4 linked regions of the Caenorhabditis elegans genome follow. The protein of the gene in region 2 interacts with the protein of the main gene of each other region in a pairwise test. Each region holds a gene or a part of one and is shown on either strand. Other genes may lie near its edges.

The links.
Region 1: the proteins of dpy-11 (region 2) and metl-9 interact in a two-hybrid assay, tested with the Caenorhabditis elegans proteins (one large-scale study listed by BioGRID).
Region 3: the proteins of dpy-11 (region 2) and eat-20 interact in a two-hybrid assay, tested with the Caenorhabditis elegans proteins (one large-scale study listed by BioGRID).
Region 4: the proteins of dpy-11 (region 2) and insc-1 interact in a two-hybrid assay, tested with the Caenorhabditis elegans proteins (one large-scale study listed by BioGRID).

What each region holds. Positions count from the first base shown.
Region 1 is NC_003284.9:5,177,016-5,181,007, reverse strand, and holds metl-9 (DREV methyltransferase), read left to right. Parts: upstream 1-1,857; 5' UTR 1,858-1,893; coding exon 1,894-1,953; intron 1,954-2,009; coding exon 2,010-2,279; intron 2,280-2,325; coding exon 2,326-2,412; intron 2,413-2,691; coding exon 2,692-2,801; intron 2,802-2,849; coding exon 2,850-3,123; intron 3,124-3,173; coding exon 3,174-3,308; 3' UTR 3,309-3,489; downstream 3,490-3,992. Other genes in the region: sru-48 (Serpentine Receptor, class T), read right to left, coding at 1-173, 349-558, 604-834; Zinc finger C2HC domain-containing protein zchc-1A, read right to left, coding at 3,577-3,715.
Region 2 is NC_003283.11:6,511,085-6,515,058, forward strand, and holds dpy-11 (Thioredoxin-related transmembrane protein 1), read right to left. Parts: upstream 2,263-3,974; 5' UTR 2,262-2,262; coding exon 2,125-2,261; intron 1,799-2,124; coding exon 1,637-1,798; intron 1,583-1,636; coding exon 1,454-1,582; intron 1,406-1,453; coding exon 1,258-1,405; intron 1,213-1,257; coding exon 1,122-1,212; intron 1,072-1,121; coding exon 998-1,071; 3' UTR 501-997; downstream 1-500. Other genes in the region: ubh-1 (Ubiquitin carboxyl-terminal hydrolase), read right to left, coding at 1-13, 67-183, 254-304.
Region 3 is NC_003284.9:15,515,083-15,522,656, reverse strand, and holds the start of eat-20 (Abnormal pharyngeal pumping eat-20), read right to left. Parts: upstream 6,005-7,574; 5' UTR 5,901-6,004; coding exon 5,867-5,900; intron 5,806-5,866; coding exon 5,670-5,805; intron 5,420-5,669; coding exon 5,334-5,419; intron 5,277-5,333; coding exon 5,124-5,276; intron 4,772-5,123; coding exon 4,622-4,771; intron 4,439-4,621; exon of another isoform or gene 4,311-4,438; intron 4,298-4,310; coding exon 4,245-4,297; intron 3,825-4,244; coding exon 3,555-3,824; intron 3,406-3,554; coding exon 3,263-3,405; intron 3,219-3,262; exon of another isoform or gene 3,090-3,218; intron 2,695-3,089; exon of another isoform or gene 2,574-2,694; intron 1,708-2,573; coding exon 1,580-1,707; exon of another isoform or gene 1,574-1,579; intron 1,521-1,573; coding exon 1,398-1,520; intron 1,146-1,397; coding exon 1,047-1,145; intron 995-1,046; coding exon 239-994; intron 1-238. UniProt on the Caenorhabditis elegans protein: Regulates pharyngeal pumping during feeding.
Region 4 is NC_003280.10:7,357,121-7,363,714, reverse strand, and holds insc-1 (Protein inscuteable homologue C-terminal domain-containing protein), read right to left. Parts: upstream 4,803-6,594; coding exon 4,728-4,802; intron 4,517-4,727; coding exon 4,347-4,516; intron 3,762-4,346; coding exon 3,664-3,761; intron 3,619-3,663; coding exon 3,508-3,618; intron 3,129-3,507; coding exon 3,088-3,128; intron 2,975-3,087; coding exon 2,830-2,974; intron 2,778-2,829; coding exon 2,663-2,777; intron 2,611-2,662; coding exon 2,420-2,610; intron 2,373-2,419; coding exon 2,278-2,372; intron 2,233-2,277; coding exon 2,132-2,232; intron 2,084-2,131; coding exon 1,984-2,083; intron 1,933-1,983; coding exon 1,687-1,932; intron 1,606-1,686; coding exon 1,452-1,605; intron 1,405-1,451; coding exon 1,302-1,404; intron 992-1,301; coding exon 711-991; intron 663-710; coding exon 541-662; downstream 1-540. Other genes in the region: msra-1 (peptide-methionine (S)-S-oxide reductase), read left to right, coding at 64-438.

The sequences.
Region 1 (3,992 bases), on a different chromosome or scaffold from region 2:
ATGTCGTGTCGTATTTCATCATAGGTTTCGGTGTAGGAGATGAAGACAGACCCGAAGCCCAAAGGAGATCCCCATTGTCTACAATAGCCTTTTGCTGGATACATAAAGTACGTAATTCCAAATGGTGAGAAGAAAGCCAACGGAATGAATGTGTAAAAAACGTAAGACGACCACTGAAAATAAGGCGTTATTAATAATGTTGACGGTATTTTCACTATTAGATTTGCGCATGTATCCCTCTACTTCAAAGGCTCATATCATGGTTGCTTTTGAGCGAAAGGGAGTGCAAGCATGGGTGCGCGGCAATTCTACAAAACGAGCCAGTGTGGCTAATTAGATAATTGTTACCTCTGCATGTCTGGTTGGAGTTACATAGACAATCATTCGAATGATAGAAAACAATAGTGAGGAAAACATTGACCAATAGGTTCCCCACATTTGTGACAGGTAAATAATTTTTAAGTAGTGATTAGGCTCCATGGCAGCACAGCTAGCTGTAACAAATCCGGTAGAAGGCACGCGGAATGCCAAATTATCAGTTATGAAGAAAATATAATGCTGAAAAAAAAAACAGATAACAAAGAAAAAATATAACCAGCTTACCGACAACTGCATAATAACCATAGATTTAAATACGTGCGGATGGATAGCTTTGGTAGCCATGGAAGGTTGGGAACAATAAATTATTGCCATTCTGATAAAACAGATAAGTCCGAGAAATACGCATGCTGACAGGCCTAGAACACACCAAGACACTGTATTCATTTTGAATTCGTAGTTCAGGTATCTACTGTCATTGTGAACAGACATAACCAATTCGGGAAACGTGGGCATTCTTCCCAAAAGTTGATTGAGCCGGAGTGAATCAGAAAGGAGAAAAGAAGAAAACTCAAAGTCAATAACAATGGTAATCTTTAACAAAAGTGTAGAGGTGTGACTTTATCGTTCAATTCTCAGGAGATTCAACCCATAAGATCTCAGATATTCTATATTCTATGCATAACTGATGAACACGTATAAGGAGTTGGGAATAATAATGATTTTAGTTTTGAAAATAACATCTCTTAAACACGAATCAGAGAAGCGGGAAAAATATCTAAATTATTGGCTTCAGAGTCATAATTACAAATGAGAAGAAAAATGAGAAAACCGGCTCTTTGACGTAAATGATTGAAGCTTACGGGAATGACTATTTGGGATACATTTCAAGTTCTGCATGGACTTGTGCACACTTGTAGTTTTGCAGTGAAAAATTATGGCTTTACATCTGACAAATACGTGGCGAAGAAGTGGAAAGGTATTACAAATGGTTTTTTTTTGGAAAGATTTCAAAAAGTTAAAGTGTGGGTTTCAAAACTGATAGTGGAACAACTAGACAATTTGGAGGGAAATATAATATATTGTTTTTTTCTGATTTTTTAAAAATGTTTCCAAGTAGCTTTCTCCCGATTTTGGCACAACGATGTTGTGGTGGAAAATCTCAAACTTGTCATCGATAACATTGATACATCTTTTTTCTGTCCTTCAACGGCTCTTTTTCACATATTGATGGGTCCCATTCGGTGTTTATTTCAAATATATTAATTGGCACGGTATGTTTTGCATTTGGACAGTGCAATGTGGCTATTAAAAACAGGCTTTAAACTAGTTAAATTCTACTTTTTTCTTCATTTCGATACGACGAAAACAATTTTCTCGCTCATCAACTCAGACCTGTAAGTTAATTTCTCAACACACTGTTCCCGCTGCGGCAAACCCGCCATCTTTTTCCTTATTGTGAATCGAGCGCGTTTGCACACACCGGGCCAACAGTGCAAAGCGTTCCCCCATTCAAACCGTCTTCGCCACACACCACCTCTCTTCCTCTTATTGTTATCGATTTTCACTGCCAAAATGTCATTTCAACTGGAGCGGACGTACGGCTTGAGAGCCCAGCATTGGTATCAGCCAGAGGTTTGTTCTTTTTAATTCAGATAATTTTTTGAAAATTTGAAAATTAATAATTTCAGACAAGTCTCTCAGATGTTGCACAAAACTTGTTCGCCGCATCGTTGCCAGATGGGGAAACGCAGCAGTTTCTTGACAACTCCAATAAAATTGCCAGCAATTTCTTTTGGCAGACGGTTCGCAACCTTGGGGTCATGATTTTGTCGACAATCTATTCGAAAACTGATATCAATGGAATGACCGGATTCGGAAACATGTTCCTTTTCAGTGAAAATCAGTTCGCCAAGTTTCTCGCAATCGAGAAAGAATCTTGGAATTCTACCGACAAAAAGGTATTTATGGGAAATTGTTTCACCAACCCGCAATTATATATTTCAGGTGCTCGATCTTGGAGCTGGCAACGGAGACATTACAGAGCACATGCGCCCATTCTTTGAGCATGTTTATGCTACAGAGTTGTCATCGGTAAGAACTTGAAATTAAAAAAAAAGGCTTTGAATACTGTAAAACATTTTATGATGACATAATGCTTTGAAAACGTTTTCTGCGTTTCTTTTCTGCGTTTTTGGCTTAATGTCAAGCAGTTATCCCAGTTTGAATTACCTAGGACAACGAATGTATCCAAATATTTGAAAAACGCCAAGCCGGCTGTTTTGAAATTCCCACTATGAAATTTAAATTTTTTTGCAAAAACGGAAACGTTACTCCTCCTGCAAGATTACTACAAACAAAGTTTTTTTGCAGAAGATGAGAAACCGGCTCAGCTGGAAGGGATACAATGTTCTCAGTGCACTCGAGTGGGCTGAAACTGATGTTAAATTTGATTTGGTCACCGCTTTCAACCTCCTCGATCGGTAAGTGAACAGAAACTCAGATTATTCAATGAAAGCTGCAAATTTCAGCCATTACTCGCCAGGAAAGCTGTTGAACGACTTGTGGAACGTCGCTCGCCGCTCAAACTGTAATGTCATCGTGTCGCTTGTGCTTCCAGTCAGCCATTACGTGGAATTCAATCCAAATGGACGAAGCACCCGACCTGACAACTACCTGAACGTTGCTGGTCGTACCTACGCCGACCATGTTCATCATATGATCGTCAATGTTTTCAAACCGGCAAATTTTGAGGTGCTCAGATGGACAAGATTGCCGTATCTTTGCGAAGGAGATATGAACAATGTGGGTGGAAGTTTGATTTGAAAATTTTTTCAAACATCAAAATATTTCAGTCTGCTTACTACCTTCCTGACGCGATCTTTCTTCTGAAACCCATCGAGCCAGAATCGCCTTCTTCCACAATCACACAGGAAACAACTTCCGTCTCCCAAGAATCTACATCTCATGCTTCACATACCGATCTTTAGACTTTCAACATAATTTATTCACAAAATACTCAGTCACCAGTCATTTATTACGGTTCTTTCAACATACCGTTGCTTCCAAATCGTGAATCCATTTCTCCAAAGTATTTTTGCAAGTTCGTGCTCACCCATTATATCGGTACCCATGATTTTATTTTTAAGTTTTAAATGAATTTTTTGAGACAAACAGCTTTACAGGAAAAGTGCATTTTTATATGTTAAAGTATTCAAAAAAGTTTAAAAAAAAACAGAAGTATACAGAATTTGAAAATCAGAAAATACGAGAGCGAGAATTATTACGACTGTTGTTTTTGGCTTGAGAGAGACGGGAGTCGCGGGAATCGTCACGCGGACAAGCTCTGGAAGATGTTCTCGAACCACTACGACTCGCTGTTGTTGTAGTCGACGCTCTGTAAACTCTATTAATTTTTCAAAAGGAAATATGATCATATTACCACCTTGAACCATTGAAAAAATATACAAGCAGAGAGATAAAAATTAGGCAATTAAACAATGGGATGGGATAATGAGGGGAACTGAACCAAATATGAAAACCAAATTGTGAAGAAAAATGAATAAATCAAGTCAGTGGTTGATGCTCATTTTACTCATACGTTGAGCCAAGGAGATTCTGAAATGGGTAAACGAAATGCAGACGACACAAAATATAATTGGCGTGAAGAAAAA
Region 2 (3,974 bases):
TAATCTCGTCAACCTAAATTTTCTTTGTCATGCTCGTAATATCTCAAATTTTGTCACAAAAAATACCTTTTTGTATTCCGGGAAGCATAGGATAACTGCGTGCTGAGGTTTTCCGATTGACTCGTCATCAAAGAACAACACATCGACAGTCTTCACGCCACTCACTCCCATTTTTTCGATCATCTAAAAACGGAGGAAGAATTAAATTAGATTGTGTGCGTGTACTGGCGACGACGCCACCGAGACAACGAACCGGATTGATGACACTTGGATTCGATTCGAGCGGAGTCCATGGAGCGGCCATATTTAGACAGTTTTTTTGGTTCTGAAGAAAATATTCAGTAATAAAATCTGTTTATGAAAATCTTCCTATGAAAAATAAATGCAAAGAATTTTTCTCGAACAATAGTTGTTTACGGGTCTGCTCAAAAAAGCCAATCAATAGCATAATATTGTGAATACCCAATGCGCTAATATATTTCTGAATTATCAAAAAAGGTTTTAATTGAATTATGATTTATTAACAACTTTTTTCGTAAAAAGTGAAATATTTGAGAGAAAGCAGAGGACAAAAAAACGGACAAACGGATCAATGCATTGAATGAGGAGCGAAAAGCAGCAGGGAAAGAAGGCGTGACGACGCCAAAGCGAACACACACTCGACCAGCACCGACTGGCTCTCGCAGCAAGAGATGTCGCTTTAATTACGTGTCGTCGTTGCAGAGTCCGAAATGAAATGCGCAGAAGGAGAGAAGCATTGGTGAAAACAAAAGAGACAAAAAAGACGGGAACCCATAGGAAGAAGTGACTTATATATATCTTGGGGGACGGCAATACTTATAATTAACAAATTTTTTAAAATTCAAAAACTTGGGGCAGAGACTGCTGGTTTGGGATAAATATGAAACATTTTGAAGTTTTTAAATTATAATTTGAAATAAAATAACAAGATGCACAAAAGGTAAAACAATTGGGGTTTTTGGAAGTTGCATAGAATTTACTTGGTCTTCTTCGTTTCTTTGCCATTATTGTTATTTCCATTTTTCTTTGTCGGAGATTCAGTTCCAGAATCTGAAAATAAATAAATTTTTAGAAATCAGAATCCGAATATTTTAAAGTACCTTTCTTTGCGTCTTTCTTCTCGGTTTTCTTGGCTTGTTGGCTTTTTCTTGGTCCAGTAGGGAATACTTGGTCGATGATGATAACGATGAACTGGAAATCACGATGTTTACAGAAATTTCTATTTAAAAAACTCACGAATCCAAGAACACATCCGAGAGCAAGAGTAACTCCGGCGAAGAGTCCGTAGCTGGCCCATGATGGGATTCCCTTATCTTCGACGAGATGGTTGTGCAAGTCACGAACCGACATCGAAAGTTTGAAGAAGACGGCAACGACGGCCATTCTGAAAAAAATTATAATATTATTTTTGCTGTGCCACAAAAAAGCGTACTGCTTAGAGTTTGGATGCTTGTAGTCTGGAACTGGGTCGATCACACGGTATTTCTTATCCTCGACGAATGAAATGAAGTCATTCTTGTCACGAGCTCCAGAATATTGACGGAAGACACCATCCTTGACGCTGAAAAAAAAAACGTTCGATTTTTGTAGAAATAAATAGCTTTCAAAAACTCACTGATAAATTGTTGGGAGAGCTGTGACAAGGAATCTACCGGAAAGTCCTGGATTGACGGTAACATCGACTTCTCCAACCTTGATTCCAAGATCATCAGACCAGTCGGCGAATGCGTTCCATGCTTTTTGAAGATCCTTGCAAGCTGGGCACCATGGAGCATGGCTGGAATTTTAAAAGTTATTTTTTTCAAATGATCTAGACCTAACTCTTCTATAGCTATTTAGAAAGATTCTAATAACCAACAGTGAATTCAAATTATGAAAAGATTCTACTCTATATCTTTTCATATCATAGGTACTAGTAAGATGGAATTTAATTGAGATTTTCATCTCGGCGGATTTTTAAAAATTTATCAGTTATCAATTTTGTAGTTTTGTAACTAATTAAAATGTTTTTAAAGTGTATGCTTGAGAACCTTAGTAGTTAATTCTACCAAGTACAAACTATATACATTGTTCCAAATTGGAGCTTTCAATGAAACAACTTACAATTCAATCATCCACTCTCCCTTCATAAGATCTGTCCAGTTTTCCTCATTGAGAAAGACGAGCTTGGAAGATCTGGTAGGTCCCCCCGAGACTCCAACGGCGAAAAGTCCGAGCACGGCGAGCAATCGGAGCAGCATTCTGGAATTGACTTGTTTTATAGATGTCATAGAGTGACCAGGAAGGATGATGAAGAATTGAAGGAATGTAGAGAAACATAGAAAGCGGAAGATTGAAAACGAAAAGCAGCGCCTATGGTGTGAAGAGAAGACACAAGAGGAAGACGTCGGTCGGAGTGAAGGGATATATCTCGGCGGCGGGGTGTACGGTCGGCAGACACGCACACACATTATCGCCGTCGCCGCAGTTCGTTTTGCAGTTCGAAAAGAGAAAAAAGAAGGCTACCGGTTTCATCTTGTTCTTAAGCCACGTATTACTAGCCATCTTCTACAGGAAAAAAACCAAAAAGAGACAACTATCAAAACATCAAGAGTAGACCAACTGAGCCTGTACACAACTTGCAGAATAGCGGGGAAATAGTATGATTCTGTAATGCCAATGCAAATATATTTATTTGCAAATACCAAATACCCACAGATTGTTTGTCTAACAGAAAATATGAGCGTTAATGCTCATGTCGAAATTATAAAGGCCCACTTTTTTTCAGTAATCAAATTATGCAAGTCATATTGTCCATTTTGGAATTGCGAAAAAATAATCGGCTTATAATATTTTTGCTGCCCTCACAGTTACAGATCAATAATTAATTTCTACAAAGAAAAAGAAACAAAAATGGGTAGATATCTTGTATCCAGAGCATGTATTAAAAAGAAGGTGGAAGTCGCATCGTCCGCGCTCAAAGGGTCAAGGATATTCCCCCTCCAGTATGTAGGTACTGTCGTACACTCACCCATACACACACACTAAAAACAACTTATCTCTCTCTTGTCTTCCCGTATTCGTTGAAACACGCCGATCCGCAATTATTGATCGAGTTGTGAAGTGGATAACTAGATTACTAGGTCTTCCTGCTGACGTTTATTAATGAATAGCGTCTGTGATAGCGACTAATCGGTCAATTAAAAAAAACCGACGCGGCGAGCTGATTTGGGTCAAATTATGGTGAAGATCAACAAGCCAATCGATTTGACTATTAGGTTACTTTGCCAAGATAAGAAAATGAGATTTAAGAAGTGAAATAGGAGAAAGAAAAGATTAAAACAAAACTCTAAATTATTTAGAAATTTGTTTTTAGAGAAGCCTCAAACATGGAATAAATTCCAATCCTACTATTGTGGCAAATTTTGATTTTAAAAAATGAAAAAAAAAGCATGGGAAGTTTTTTAATATCGTAATTTAGGGAAAAAGTCAAAAGTCACTTAAAGGCACACGCTGTTAATCTGAGTGGGTCTCGCCACGATCGTGGTAGCTATAAATGCCAAAATTCACAACATTTTCACCTAGTCTCACTATTTTAAAAGTGAATTTTTTCAACGAAAAGTAGTTGCTTCTGCAAAAACTGATATTTACAAATTTGGAACAATTGGTCAAGTACAAATTTACACAAGGGATATTCAAAAGATTCAGAGATAAACTTTCATTAAAAATTGTTTAAAAATTAAAAAATGATTTTCTTTAGTCAATTTACTATTACTACTGCGACTATGCATTTAAAATTCGTTTAATTATTTCTAGATCTTCTATTTAAGTGCACAGTCTAAAAAGTTGCATAAATTTAATTCTAAAAAAGCAAACATCTCTGTTTCAACGATCAAAATGGGAGGAAAAAGCCATAGAAACGCCTGGGGACAGGTCGTTATCCAACACGGAAGGAATAAGGATTGCTGGAATGA
Region 3 (7,574 bases), on a different chromosome or scaffold from region 2:
GTACCCCTACAGCACCTGTACAGTACTCCTACAGTACTCCTATAGTACCCCATAGAGTATTAGTATAGTACTATTACAGTAACCCTACAATGCACATGCAGTACTACTAATGCACCCCTACAAAACTCCTACAATACCTCTATAGTACTACTACGGTTCTACAACAGTGCACCTACAGTATCCAAAATCCAGAATCCATAATCCAAAATTAAAAAAAGTGCATAAAAACTCCGTATACCTGTCGTTCTTTCCTCGTCGCTCTCCTCGTCAACAACTCCTTCCGTACTCGTTTCCATCTTCTCATCTGGTTGAGGATGTGGCATGATAACCATTGGTGTTGGGCTATCTGGTACAACTTGCTTATTGGTAGTGGTCATCCAGAACGGCAAGCTTGTCTGTGTTGTCGTGGTTGCAATCTCTTCAGACTCGATGTCCTCCACTTGATCAGTCGTCATTTCCTCTTCCTCCTCCATTGTGGTCGTTGGAGCTTCTGTGGTGAATGTGGTGGTTGGTTGAACAAAGACAGTAGTTGATGGTTGCGTTGAGCTATCAGTGACTTCTTCAGTCATATCTTCGTCTTCGTCGGTCTCTTCCATGTCAGTTGTCGTTGATGGAATTGTCGAAGTAACAAATGCGGTTTCAGTTGTGAATTGTCCGTTTGTGGCGACTTGCATTGTGCTTGGTGTTGGGAAGGTTTCCTCGGTCTCTTCAGTCGTCTCCTCTTCCTCCTCTTCTTCATTCTCATCTGGAACACTTGGTGACACAAACTTGTGCACTGGCTGCTGTGTTCCAGTTGTTGGTGCAAAAGTGGTGGTTTCTGGGGTTTGTGGGAAGATGAACGTGGTTTGGGTTGGTACTTCTGATGGTTGATGTGGCTGCTGACTGCTCCAGGTTGGCTCTCCAGCGGTAATGATGTGCTGGTTGAATGGTGGTGGAAGGGTCGTCGAGCCGATGTCGAGTGGTCGAAGTGGCGCACGGGTTACTGTGAATCCAACTGGAAATTAGAATTGGCTACTCATTTTATAAAAGTAAAACCTAAAACGTACCAAATGGCTCAGAAGGAACTTGATGAGTAGGAGAAACAGTCACAGTTGGCTGTGTGACCATAAGAGTTGTTGAAGTAGCCGTGAAAGTCACTGGTGCACCTGTTATTGAAAATAAAGGTTAGGAGGAAGGATTAAAGGACGATCCGTTATTCAAGTGCAATGCACTGCGGATCTAGGAGTCAGGTACACTGCCTGGTGGTGCTCCCGCTAGGATATAATTTTAGCCACATTCTAGCTGGGGACTGTCGAAAGCGTGACCTCCAGATTGCTAGCGGCCACCACTACCTAGTGAGCTATCCTGCCCCCCCCCCCCCCAGTCAATTTGAATCCCTTTCAAATTATTATTATTACCTGTCGGAAGCTTTGAAATTTCCAAAACTGGGAACGATGGTGTCACATTGTTGATGACAACTTGTTCCGTTGGCTGAACGCTGGTTGCAGATGGTGCGTGAAGTTGCATGCAGTCGACAAATTCTGGAAACAGGATTCGGTCTGTTCTCAGATCATTTTCGTTTCATTAAATTCACACATACGTCCATGAATTGGATGTGGACACAGGCAATCATAAGTGCCGTTGATCAATGTGAGACTGGACATTTTGTCCATGTTGTCATCGAGAACGCATTTCGCCAATGGACCGAACATGGAACAAGCGGCATCTCTGAAAAAGAAACGGAAATTATATGGCTGATTTATATTGTTGTATAGTTTAAGGTTTTTCATGTTTGCTTGAATCACTTTTCCTCAAAAAAAAATTTCCCAGCAGTTAACTAAAGACATTAGAAATTCATTATCGAAAATGAGTGTCTTAACATTAATCCTATTCAAAATCAGTATGGTTAGTGAATTGAAATGACTGTTTTGATAGCTTTTATTTCAACTTAACATAGTAATTTCAATAATTCGAATTATATAATGCTTAGTATTTTCATGTTTCCCTGCATCACCAAATTACCAAATTTCCTCAAAAACTACAAAGAAACCAACAAAACTCCAGTTTTTCTATTCCCCAATTTTAGAATTAGTGATCAACTAGGAACAACAAGGGTGTGTCGCTTCCCACTGTCTACTTTACATTCCACTCCGTTCATCAAATCTTTTTCCATCCTTTTTTTTCTCGAAAAGCGATTATCTGCCTCCCATGCCGTCTCCCCTAATTAATCCGATCATCAAATGAGTTTTTGTCAACTTCCTCCAATCCCGCCGTCCGTTTTCCGTGCCGAAATTTCGGAATAATAATGACCATGATGATAAAGATGATGATGATGATGATGACCGAAACGAAAAACGGTATGACACGATCGGATTGTTGCGCTCAAGAAAAATGAGCAGCGTCTGCCCCCCCCCCCCCCCCCATCGGTAGTTGGGTGAGGATGGAGATGAAGAAAAGTTTTGAAATGAGAGAGCAAATAAGAGTGACCATAGACACAGGGGGGACAGGTCATTGTCGTCGTGTGTATTTATGTATGCTCGGCTTGGGCGCTTACCGTTTTCTCTCCATCCTACCTCTCCGGATTCATCAGGTTGTGTAATCAGCTCTTTTGCAATTGAGAGGAGGAGGAGGAGAAAAACAGAAAGCAGTGCGGGCAACGGCGCTTGCGCTTGTGTCTACTTGGAACTTGCTTCAAAGAAAAAGCTTCAGGATGGATAGGGTGAAACATTATACCGCATAATCGGGAAAGCAGGTCAAAAGGTTCAGTGAGATGAAATTACAAATGTTTATAGGTATTCAATTGTTTTTCTTTTAGATAATGTTTAGCTTTATAATAAAAATTTTATAATATCTTCCAAAATGTAACTCGATTGTTAATTTCAATTAACAAGTACATATAAAATTTTGTAATATTTCAACAACCCATACAAAGTCCACTGCCCTTTTTCGCAAAGTGTCAAGATTAAAGCGCTCACCCTTACGTGCTTCACTCGTCGCCGCCGAGCAGTCGGGCAAAGTTACAGTTGAGCTACACACCTGTCCGTAGTTCTCTAATTCTCCTCATTTGTGCAAAAACCTTTTTGTTGCGCGAGCTTTGAAAGATTTAAGGTGGTCAAAAACAAACATCTCAAGTTGTCACACTGGAGCAACGCGGTGGGGGGGGGGGGGAGGGGGTCAGCTCACGGAATAGTCGCCTTAATGAGTGAAGAGCAAACTCGAGAACGACTTGACAGTCGAGTGTCGTTTTGTTTTATTTTGAAATTCCAAAAGAGTCAATTCATACCCGAGGCACACGTCAAGTACGTTGCAGTTGGCGCCGGTGAAACCCTGACGACACTCGCATTGAGCTTGACCATCTTTGAATACACATTGGCCGTTGGAGCATTCCGGTCTACAAATTGGAGCAACCGATTCGTCGGTGTGGGCCTGAATTATTTGAGTTATCGACTTGTAGAAATGCGATGAAAAAGAAAAGAAAAAAAAATTCAAAAGTCAAGAAAAGAAGAAAAGAGTTGAGAAACAAGATTTAATATAATAGACGTATTACGTCTTAATGTACTACAAGCCACACGTACCGATTCGCAGAGCAGTCCAGTGAATGCAGGCGGGCATTCGCAATAAGCGATTCCATTGTTCGATCGGCATACTCCGCCGTTTTGGCATGGCACCGAAGAGCATACGTCCAACTCGCAACGATCCCCCGTGAAGCCATTACGGCACAAACACGTGGCGGCGCCTTCTTGGGAAACTAGACACGTGCCGTTATTGTGACATTCGTGGTTGGCACATGGCGATGGTGGAAGTGTTGGAGGGTTGGCGCTTCCTAGAACCGAGGGGTCGATTCCCTGAAATAATGTTTGGATAGGATGACATTATGGAAAAATTGAAAACAAACAAAATTAAGTTTATTAGCATTCACGCTAATGTTCCAAGAAGTTTGGTTGAAACTAAGAATTTTTTACACCTCTGGTTTTGTCAGAAGCTTTACGTTAAGTATGTTCATAAATTGTAGAGCCATTGCTAATGTAGTTATACTGTTCGCTAGACAATTTTTATGCAATCCGAAAGTTCATAGCTTTTTGCTCATTTCCAATTACATATACATACACATCTGGTTCATCTTTCTTCACTTTCAAAAGTGAGCATATGAGTTGAATATGCAAATATAAATAATGGGCTCAAATTACTTAGTTCCTTCATCCTTCTTCATCGCCCTACCCATTTTGCACTTTTCTCATAAACTGTGAATCGGAATATAAACAAACCTTGAACAATGGGAACTGAGGTGTGTTGGCGAGCATATCGACATCCTCGTTTTCTGGAAAAAAAAACAATTTGAACTAATTGTGAATCCCAAATAGTGTTTTTCTTTCTTTGTTTCACACTTCACGTCTTGTGTTCGACCCATGCAGGATCATGCATGGAGCCGGAACATGCGAAGTGACCAAAGTGGCTACTCGAGTGCAAAAAGTGAATGTGCGTCCGTTTCACACTTATTTATTTATCAAATAATATGTCCACTTTTTCCTCCCGAAAAACAAACAAAACACGCGCTCAATTTGAAAGTGCTACTTGGGAAATCCTCATCCACAAATAGTTTGAGAATAGAAGGAAAAAAAACAACACATTTTAAAACACTAACCAATCTCCGAATCCTCATTAGCTGCATCCAAGAAGGGGCAGGAACAGTTGAGTGCGTTGGCGGTGAACGAGTTCCTTGAGAGATGTGGTGGGCATCCGGTGGCTTGTTCGGTTTGGACAACAACGTCGCGTAGGCAGGCTGGTCCCGTGACTGAAATTATTTCATTCATATGTTTTCAATGTTGAAATCTTGTATGGATTTTGCCGGATTGTGGGGAGCTGAGAAAGAGCTAAGAACAAAAAACGTCAGGTCGAGTCGTTTTGGAAAGATCCACTTGACGAACAACAAAACATTTTTCAAAGAGGGGGGAGATCCACAAAAACATATTTGTGTGTGTTTTTGTGCTCAATGCAAATATCATGGTATCGGACCGCAAATTTTTCGAAAACGAGAGGCACAGCGCTTCTGAGATTAGTGTCAACATTGACCTTGGCATGTAAGTTGTGTGTGCGAGAGAATGGGAGAATTTGAGAATTTATGAATTTTACAGAAAAAAACCTACTCGATTGGATACGGATCGAAAAAGTGCGTGGATTTTGAGTACGATCAAACTCCACACGTATCGCGGCTCCGTGCTCGAATGTGCAGTCGAGCCCGGAGGCAGTCAGCTCCCAGCTGAACCTTTCCCATCGTTTCGAGAAATTTCCGGTGGCATCTGGAAATTTAGATTTTATCACTGGAAAGAACTGGTTTTATATATAAATTAATTTACCTTGTGGTGCAACACATTGACCTAACGTAACACCTGTTGAGCTGTCAACAACCGAAAGAAGTGTAGTTGGCATTCCGGAGATTGACCTGAAAATAATTATTATGTACTAGAAGCAATAACCTTTGTGCTTTAAGATGTTTCGTTTGTATTTTGATGTGGATGTAGGTTTCAAATTTCATGACTAGGTAGGTTCTACATTTTACGAACGTTTTGCGTAAGGATTACCTTACGCTTCCGGGGGGCAAAGTAACTCGAAATAATTTCCGCGGTCTGCGGCGTGTGTGTGTGTGTGGTCACATTTCAAAAGTGTATAAAGTGTATAAATTGTGTACTCACCTTAAAAACTGATAACCACCGGTCCATGGTAAACTGGATTCGTCGAGTATCCAGACGGCGTTGCCTTGCGACGGGTTCGTGAAATGAAAAACGTCGTCTTCGACTGATTGCGCGCAACAAACTGCCACATAAATACCTGAAAGATTAACATTTTTTAAGTGATTTTTTTTTCGATTTTTTGTTGTTTAAAATCTTACCAAATATTAGCAACACTCGACAAAACGTGGTCATATTGATATGAATATAGGAGAAGTGATAACTGATTGTGGCTGCTTTCGCAACAACTCGATTTGCGTCTTGTTCACCTCCGTTTCTCAGTGGAGTTTTGTCAGTCTGGAAACAGAAAAAATTTAAAAGATTCAATTTGAGTATTTTTTGAGAATAGCGACGACTTCCTCGAAGCGATAGACATAAAACACGTGTGAAGGTTAGCCACCGTTAAGAGAATAGAGATCGGCCACAAAGATGAGAATTGAATTGGGAATGGTAGAATGAAAAAGGAATTGGAAAAGGAAGACATGTTTTTTTTAAATTTATTATGACTACCAAATTCACCTAGTTTACCAATTTTAAATAGGAACCCATTAAAACAGGTATAAAAGCGTAGTGCTGCAAAAGATGAAAGCAATAAGTTTGGTCACACTTTAACACTAATTGACCACACTGTTAACTCATGAACGGTGGAAACAAGGCACTAAGAAAGTAGTCATGAACTGACCACTAAAGTGGAGGCCTAGACTGGTACCGGGAGGTCGCGTAGCAAAAATGAGCGAGAGACAAGGAGTGAGGAGTGAATTGTGAGCTGTCAAAACTGCGTAAAAAACAAACTTGACCATCACCATAACTCCGAGAGAGAGAGAGAGAGAGGAGGTGGGGGGGGCTCCCGGGGGGCGACGGGTAAAACACCTCCCGGTGTGGGGGCCCCCCTGATGTTGTGATCGTCGCGGGCGCGCTCGCACACAGGCGCGACGCGCTGTTCGGTTCGTGCGAGTGCGCACGCGGGAGGAGACGCGGACAGAAGAAGGTTAGGAGGTGGGATCCAAGAGGGACGGAATAGGCGGGCTGGCGGACAAACAGCAAAACTCGGAGCGCGGCCCCGATGAGGCAAGCGAAATCTGATGGTGAGCAAGGGGCACGAGCGGAAGAGTGGAACCAGCAGCAGCAGCAGCAGCAGCGTTCGCCGTCTCCGATTCCCGCAATGAAAATTGATTGTGAAATGAAAAGAGGTGAACGGGAGAAGAGGGGGGAGGTGAAAGTGATACTAAAGCTTATCAGATTAAGCTTCAACTTAATAAGCCATAAGCCGTAAAACGTGTTTTTCTAATTAGGTATACCAGTTGAAAAAATCAAACGATAAGGTTGGGACGTAGGAAAATAAGGAATTTTGAAATATTAAGCTCTTGAATGATTAATGACAACCGCGCGAAAAACCAGACCAATAAAGAGTTAGAATTAATTTTTAAAAACTTATTTCAAGCTGCTATGAAGTTGAGAAATTTTAGAATTACATATCTGTTAGAATCATTTTTAGTCCAGTCCACTTAATGATAACAATTGCAGAACTAAACAAATTTAGACATGCATAACAAATCAAACAAGGCTCCTTGTGAAAGAACAGTAAGTACAGTAGCCTGAACCAGGTCCAACCTCTTCTACCTCCCCAAACGCTACATCTAAATCCTGTGCTGACCTTCATCAGTGTTAGGGGCCACACAGAAATCTAAGCGATCAACCAACTTGCAATAGTTTCTAAACTTCATCAAGCGGAAAAATTGGTTGTATCCAGAGAGATAGAGGGAAGGAGAATAGACCCGTTGGAAAAACCGACAGCGGTTTTCTACAAAATATCAAAATCGCCAGAGCGTGTGTGTACAACAGAACGGAGGACAGATCGATCAAGTGGAA
Region 4 (6,594 bases), on a different chromosome or scaffold from region 2:
ATTGATTATAATTTTTTAGGTTAAAATACATTTAAACTTCAAATTAATTCGTTTCAATTTCAGCAATACCAATCTGCGATTCTCTACGTAAATGACGACCAAAAGAAAGTCGCTGAAGAAACTTTGAAAGTAGCAAAGGACAAGCATGGAGACATTGAAACATATATTGAGCCATTGGACAAGTTCTATCAAGCTGAAGATTACCATCAAAAATATTGGTTCCGTCAAAAGAAGATTCTTTTCGATGAACTGTCTCTTCTTGATACTCAAGTTGCTGAAGGAGAACTTGCCACAAAATTGAACGCATATTGTGCTGGCTTCCAGGACTTCCACGATCTTGAGCGTCTTGCAAAAGAGTACGGATTAAAGGATTCTTTTGTCAATAAGGTGAAGGACTATGCTCTGTCAGGAGGAGATCCAAGAAACTGTCATGCTTAAATTATATGAATGTACAATCGAACTTTTATCAGGTTTTCAATGAATTTTATTTTATCACAGATTCTTGTGTTTGTTTGTTTAACAAAGGAAGATATTTGAATATTATACTGCACTTTCAGATTGGTATTTAGATTCCAACTTTGTGCGAATATTGTTGCATATCATATTAAATGGATTTGAAGAGTTGTTGTCATCATAAAGCACATTGCTCAAAATTGCGTAGGCTGTAACTTGAACATATATGAAACGTTGAATAATTCTGAAAATCTCACCATTATTACCATACAAGGCTTTGAGCCCAATTTCACTGTTAGCTAAAGTACCAATACATACAGCAGCTTTGTACCGTATCCTTCTACAGTAATCCGCATGGATTGGATGGGTAAGGGATAAAAATTCAAGAAGCACTGGAATTGCATTTTGATCAACCATTTGATGATCTAAATGACGGGCGGCAAGGCGAGAAAAGGCTGTAACAATTTGTTCCTGGACGAAGACAGTGGCACAATTTTCTCGATTATAAGCAGATATCAGACGACGAATTGAATTATTTCTGAAAATATTTACATTTACATGTTGCAAAAAACTTTTCAAAATCCCAAAATAGAGAGCGATCCTATAAATTTTCAGATTTTTTTTTAAATTCGAGACTGTTTTCAGTTTTATCTGGTAGGCTGGTTTACCGTTTTGTAGTTTCTAGGTAACTTGTAGCAATTGCTACAAAAGTTAGAACAAGGAATTCGCCTTGAAATTTTGCATTCATTTTCTACAATTACGTGCTATAGCTCAATTTAATGTTGGTTCAAATTTAATTTTGTACTGAGCTTTTGCGAAAATAGTTAAATGCTTAAAATTCAACAAACCTGTACATAATATCAACTCCATTTGGGTTCTGAAGTGTCACATTGTTCAATGCAGCGGTTGCCAAAAGCAAAGAGTCACCTGATTTACATTGATCTATTAGATCTGAAATTAATTATTTAGTCTCCAATTTTTATATTTAAATTGGTTACCCAAAAGTCTGGATATAATTGGTTCCACATGATTTAACCGAATGAATGCAGACTGAGGATTGGTAAGTTGTGTCAGAATACCAGCTGCCTCGACGGAACAGATTGATGAGGAAATGGATAAAAGTCTATCAATAACCAAATCCAAGCCTCCTTGCTGAAATTAATCAATTTGTATTGATTGAATTTGTATTGAATTTGTATTGAAAAGTATTGATTATAAAATATATCTAATTACCGTGAGCAAAGCAAGTGCTCCTTTTGAAACTCCACATAACACTGCCAATGTTCGAAGTAAAAATCTAAGAGTGTTCTCCTGTGGTTGATCATTCTTCATAATTCGAATAACTGATGAGATGCATCCTTTTTGAATTGCTTCAATACAAAGTTCATCTCCAAATAAACAAATATGAATAAGATGCTCTAAACAAATAGGTGTCAGACGATCTTTTCCATTACTTTCACATAGATTCTTGGATATTATCTGAAATTAAATATTTGAATGAATTGAATAGTTAAACTAAAAGTAACTTACCCTCACAAACACCAAAAGTACTGATTCTATAGACTTTCTGAGAAGAATCGCAAAAAAGTTTGTCATATTATTCATGTCAATTATTCCTTTATCTCGATTTCTGGAAAAACGTAAGGTAACATTTAATTTGTTTCAATAATAGATTTACTTTTGTAACTCTTGAACATTCATTTTTAATCGAGCCATTTCAGTCTTTGGAAGATAATTTGTACATGGAGATGATTCAAGCAGTTGGATGAACACAGAAGACTTAAATATTAACTTTTGTAACTTAATTCAGTATGCACAAAATACCTTTGCCAACAAATCTCTGCAAGTTGCTGGATCCAGAGCTGAAGAAAGAAGAGTATACAAAGCAGATGATGTTCTGAGAACATGATCCATTGTACCTGAATTTTCTCTTTAAAAATTCAATTTCCAAATAATGACTACTGACTAGCCATTCTCGCATAGCTTGGCATCCCTGTATCATCATCATCTTTACTTTCTTGTCGAGTTGAACAATTTGATCTTCGTTCGATTTGATCTCCGGAACATTGTCCAGAGTCGACACTTGTGATGCTATCCGAACGAGTACTGTATGGAGATCGGAGAATTGTATTTGCGCTGTCAGTGCTCATGTCTATTCTGTAATTGCAAAATTATTTTATCTTTAATGTTAAAAATAATTATTTAGTACCTGTTCATTGCCTGTTGAACATGTGCTCCATTAACAGTTATTGTGTTTGCTCTTGAAGAAGTTGGAACTGGTGGGGCCGGAGACAAAATTCCATTTCTTTGTGGTTGCACACTAGCTGAAAAAATTCAATTTTTCCAGCAAAAGATAACGAAATAAAAATTACTCACATTTCATAGAATTCCGTCGCAAAACCTGAAACTGTTCATACGACGGAGGCGCTGTTTTAGGAGTTGGTGTTCGACAACCAGATGGAGAGTTGCTCTTTTGGCTCAGAGCTCGTGAAATGTTTCCTCGGAAGCCGGGCAACTTGATCTGAATGGTTCAACATGTGTTGCCAATCAACGAAGCAATTAAGATAAAATTTAAGGGGTGGTGAAGGGATAGAAAACGAGAAAAAACGAAGGAATAAAAGAAAGTGAACTCACATTTCGAATTATTGCATCCTCGGTGTCCGTTGGGCAAGACTCTATAAAAACTCGAGTTTGAGAAACAGGACGGAAATGTTCAAAACTTGAAAGCATTTTTATGCCGCAAGTTTTCCCAGTGCTCTAGGGAAAGTTTAAGGAAAAGAGAGTTCATAAAATTTATGTTGGGAGTCAACTTTTTGTTTCTTGATTCCTTTTTTTAAGTTGCATTGTTTTCTATCTAGTCCAGATGAATTCAAGAAAAAATCGTTAAAATTGTATTGCGCAAAAATTGAAAAAATGATACTGCCTAAAATCCAGAATAATTTCATTTTTGCAAGGTATCAAGTTTCTTTCTTTCTGAAAAATTTAAGGGCATTTGACGTGTTTTAGCTCTCTCACTATCGTTATCAACTTTTAAATTCTCCACAAAATATTTACCAGCATGAACGGACGAGCACAAAGTAGTGCTACTTGAGTTATACTTGTCACTCAGACTGTTGTTCATCATCTCAGCGATAGAATTCCTTTCCAACAATTGAGGAAGACTTGCTGAAAGTTGTAACATTTATAAAGTAATTTTCATTTTGTTACTACCTGCACAATCATTTGCTCCACTTCGTAGCCTTGCTATCCTCCTTTGAGGTTTTGGAGGAGCTGATATATTGCCCAATGAAGTTGATAACATTGATTTGCTGAAAATAAAATAACAATTAATTTATATATTTTAAAATTTTGATGATTTGAATTACCGAAGAACCATTGATTTGAAAGTAATCAATAATACTACAAATGAATGAAATAATGAATTTATTCTTAATGCGGATCAAATTGCAAACTATCTCTTTCCCATTCCGCGCGGTAAATATCTTTTCGCACCAATAGCTACTGTTTGCTTTTTTGATTTGACTTTTGGAGTTGGAAGCTTGAAAGAAAATGTGGATAAAATAACTTATTTCTCAAACTTCTGTATATAAGAACTTTATACGAGACGAGAGATATTGATAGAAAGTAACAAAGAATCTCGGAAAGAGACATGCTCAACAACTTGAGAAAAGTCATTAATTATTTGAAGATGGCGGCCAAGATGACACCTGTTCGCATCCAATTTCTTGGCGGAACACAACAAAAATTAATTACAAAATTTTTGCTAAAATATTTCATTAAAGTAAAGAAGAAGAAGCTTGTAAAGCGAAAAAGAAGAGCAAAATGATTTGAATGACCGCAACTAGTCGGGTAACCCGACTCCCTGTGCATTGAACAACAAACAACCACTTTACCTGTAGCCGACCGAGATTTTCTTGGCTCCATAATATTCTTCATCGGGTAATTGTACGATAGATTCCGGAGTTGGAAGCAATGGTTTTGCATATAAAATTGTTTGGAGCTCGTCGTCTCGGGCATTTGCCAAACTTGAGAGCCATTGCTGATGAAACCGGGTTACAGTAGACTGAAATTAATTTTTATTAATAAACAGTTTTCATCTGATTTCTGATTTTTGCAATGTTTCAAGCTCATCAAAAATATTTCCAAGAGATTGCTTCTTTGTATCAGTTAACAATAATTTTTTGAAAGCATTTTTCAAGTAAAGCCTAAAGTTTAGAAGGGTCTCTTTTTTTTATTTCTTTCTATTATAAATTTTAATAACAATAAATTGAGACCTTTGGAGGTTGTGGAACTATATCGAATAAATTCTCGTTTTCCAGGGAATCCCAGAATCGGGCCAATCGGGCCATGTTTATATGAGCATTTAGCTGAAAAAAGTAAAAATTGAAAAGAAAGAATGAAAAGTGAAAGAAACGAGCAGTTCTAATTATTAGTTGTCACTTTCACTAGGACGCTCCAAGTATATTCATAATTTTATAAAGATATTGTTGTAAGAAGTGTGTCTCTTCTTGTCAATGCGCGATAATATCCAAGTGGGAAGCCCATCGGGACCTTGTGAATATTGTATGAAATAGAGAGACACAGAGAAAAGTGAAGGTGATAAATGATGAGTTTCTCAAAACAAACATAGACTTCTCTATTCGGGATCAGTTCATGCGCGCGGCAAGTGAGAAGAGATGAATCGACGTGGGACGCGGGAGGCAGGCGGAAGTAAGATTGAACGAAAAAAAACGAAATGTCAAAAAATTTGTGGAGCAAATATGCCAATTGGGTTCCGGTCTAGTTGAATGCATTGGACATGTTTTGAGGGAATGCAAATCAGCTGGTGAGTTACAAAGCAGGCGGAAGGGTAGAGGTCACAATATCTCAGAAATAGAGAGAAAGAGAGCAAGATGAGCACCCACAGGAGCAATTTGTGTACTACATAATATGATAAGATGTGCAGACTTTAATTTTAATTTATAAAAAATCTTGAATATATTATAAGTATCAGAACATTTAAAAACAGAAAAAAATTTTAGAGTTAAAATGAAAATTAATGTCATATCGTCTTTGGAAGACTAATAAAAATGTATATTTACGCAAATATTATAAGCTATAGATGGTGTTCAAATCACACGTTTTGGCATTTTTTGGCAATTTACCAAAAGTGTGTCTAAACATTTTTTTTCCAACAAAATACCAACTGGTGATTTAATCATGCCACAAAGCTGAATTTCTACACTTTTCAATAAACTTTTTCAGTTGAATATATAGATTTAAATTTACTAGAGCTTCAGGTATGATTTGATAAACGCGCCTACCTCAGACCTAAACTCCGGAGTTTGGTCAAATTTTAAAAAAATCTGTGATTTTCAAGTTTAACAAAGTTTAAAAAAGTTTGAAGTTTTAATTTAAAAGTTTAAATTATGTTTAAGTTTAGGCAGAAGCTTCTAGAAGTGAAATCTAATTTTTTTGTATATTTTGAAGAGACTCTTCAAATAAATTTCTATAAGCGAAAAATGCTCATTCTACATGATATATACCCCCAGGTAACCTAATTACACTAAAACACAATTGTTCCTAGAAGAAACTAAAGGTTATTGCTAATAAGTTTTTGTCTACTGTTCCTGCAAAGATAATTAACTTTTTTTATGATGAGTGCCTCCACTGAACAGCTAGAATTTCGTTTTGTTCTAACAATAAGTTTAAACAACACGTATTTTTCTGACTACTGTAGAATTCTCTAAAACCTATTAAAATTTAAAGGGCAATAAACGGTGTGATTTGGGAGAATAACACCTATCTCGTGGGTTCATAGAGGATATAAATCAGCCAAAAAACCCGCTGTGATTCTCCGCTTCTTGATGATAAAAAAGATAAATGAGTGTCTCTTTTCCTTCTGGCTCCGCATCAAAACGTCACAAAACAGTGGGGTTGATGAGTGACATATGGTTGATTTCCAAGTGGATTTTTGCGCCCACCACCACCAATTGTTCATCAAATAGGGATTGTCTGGAATATTTTTAGAATGCGGAAACCTTTTTTCCGAAAACCTTTCCCCAAAAAGCATTAGAATAATATGAAAATTACAAAAGGATTTATTTACAAAAGAACATTGTATCAATTATCTTTGGAAAAATATCAAGATTATATTTCAGG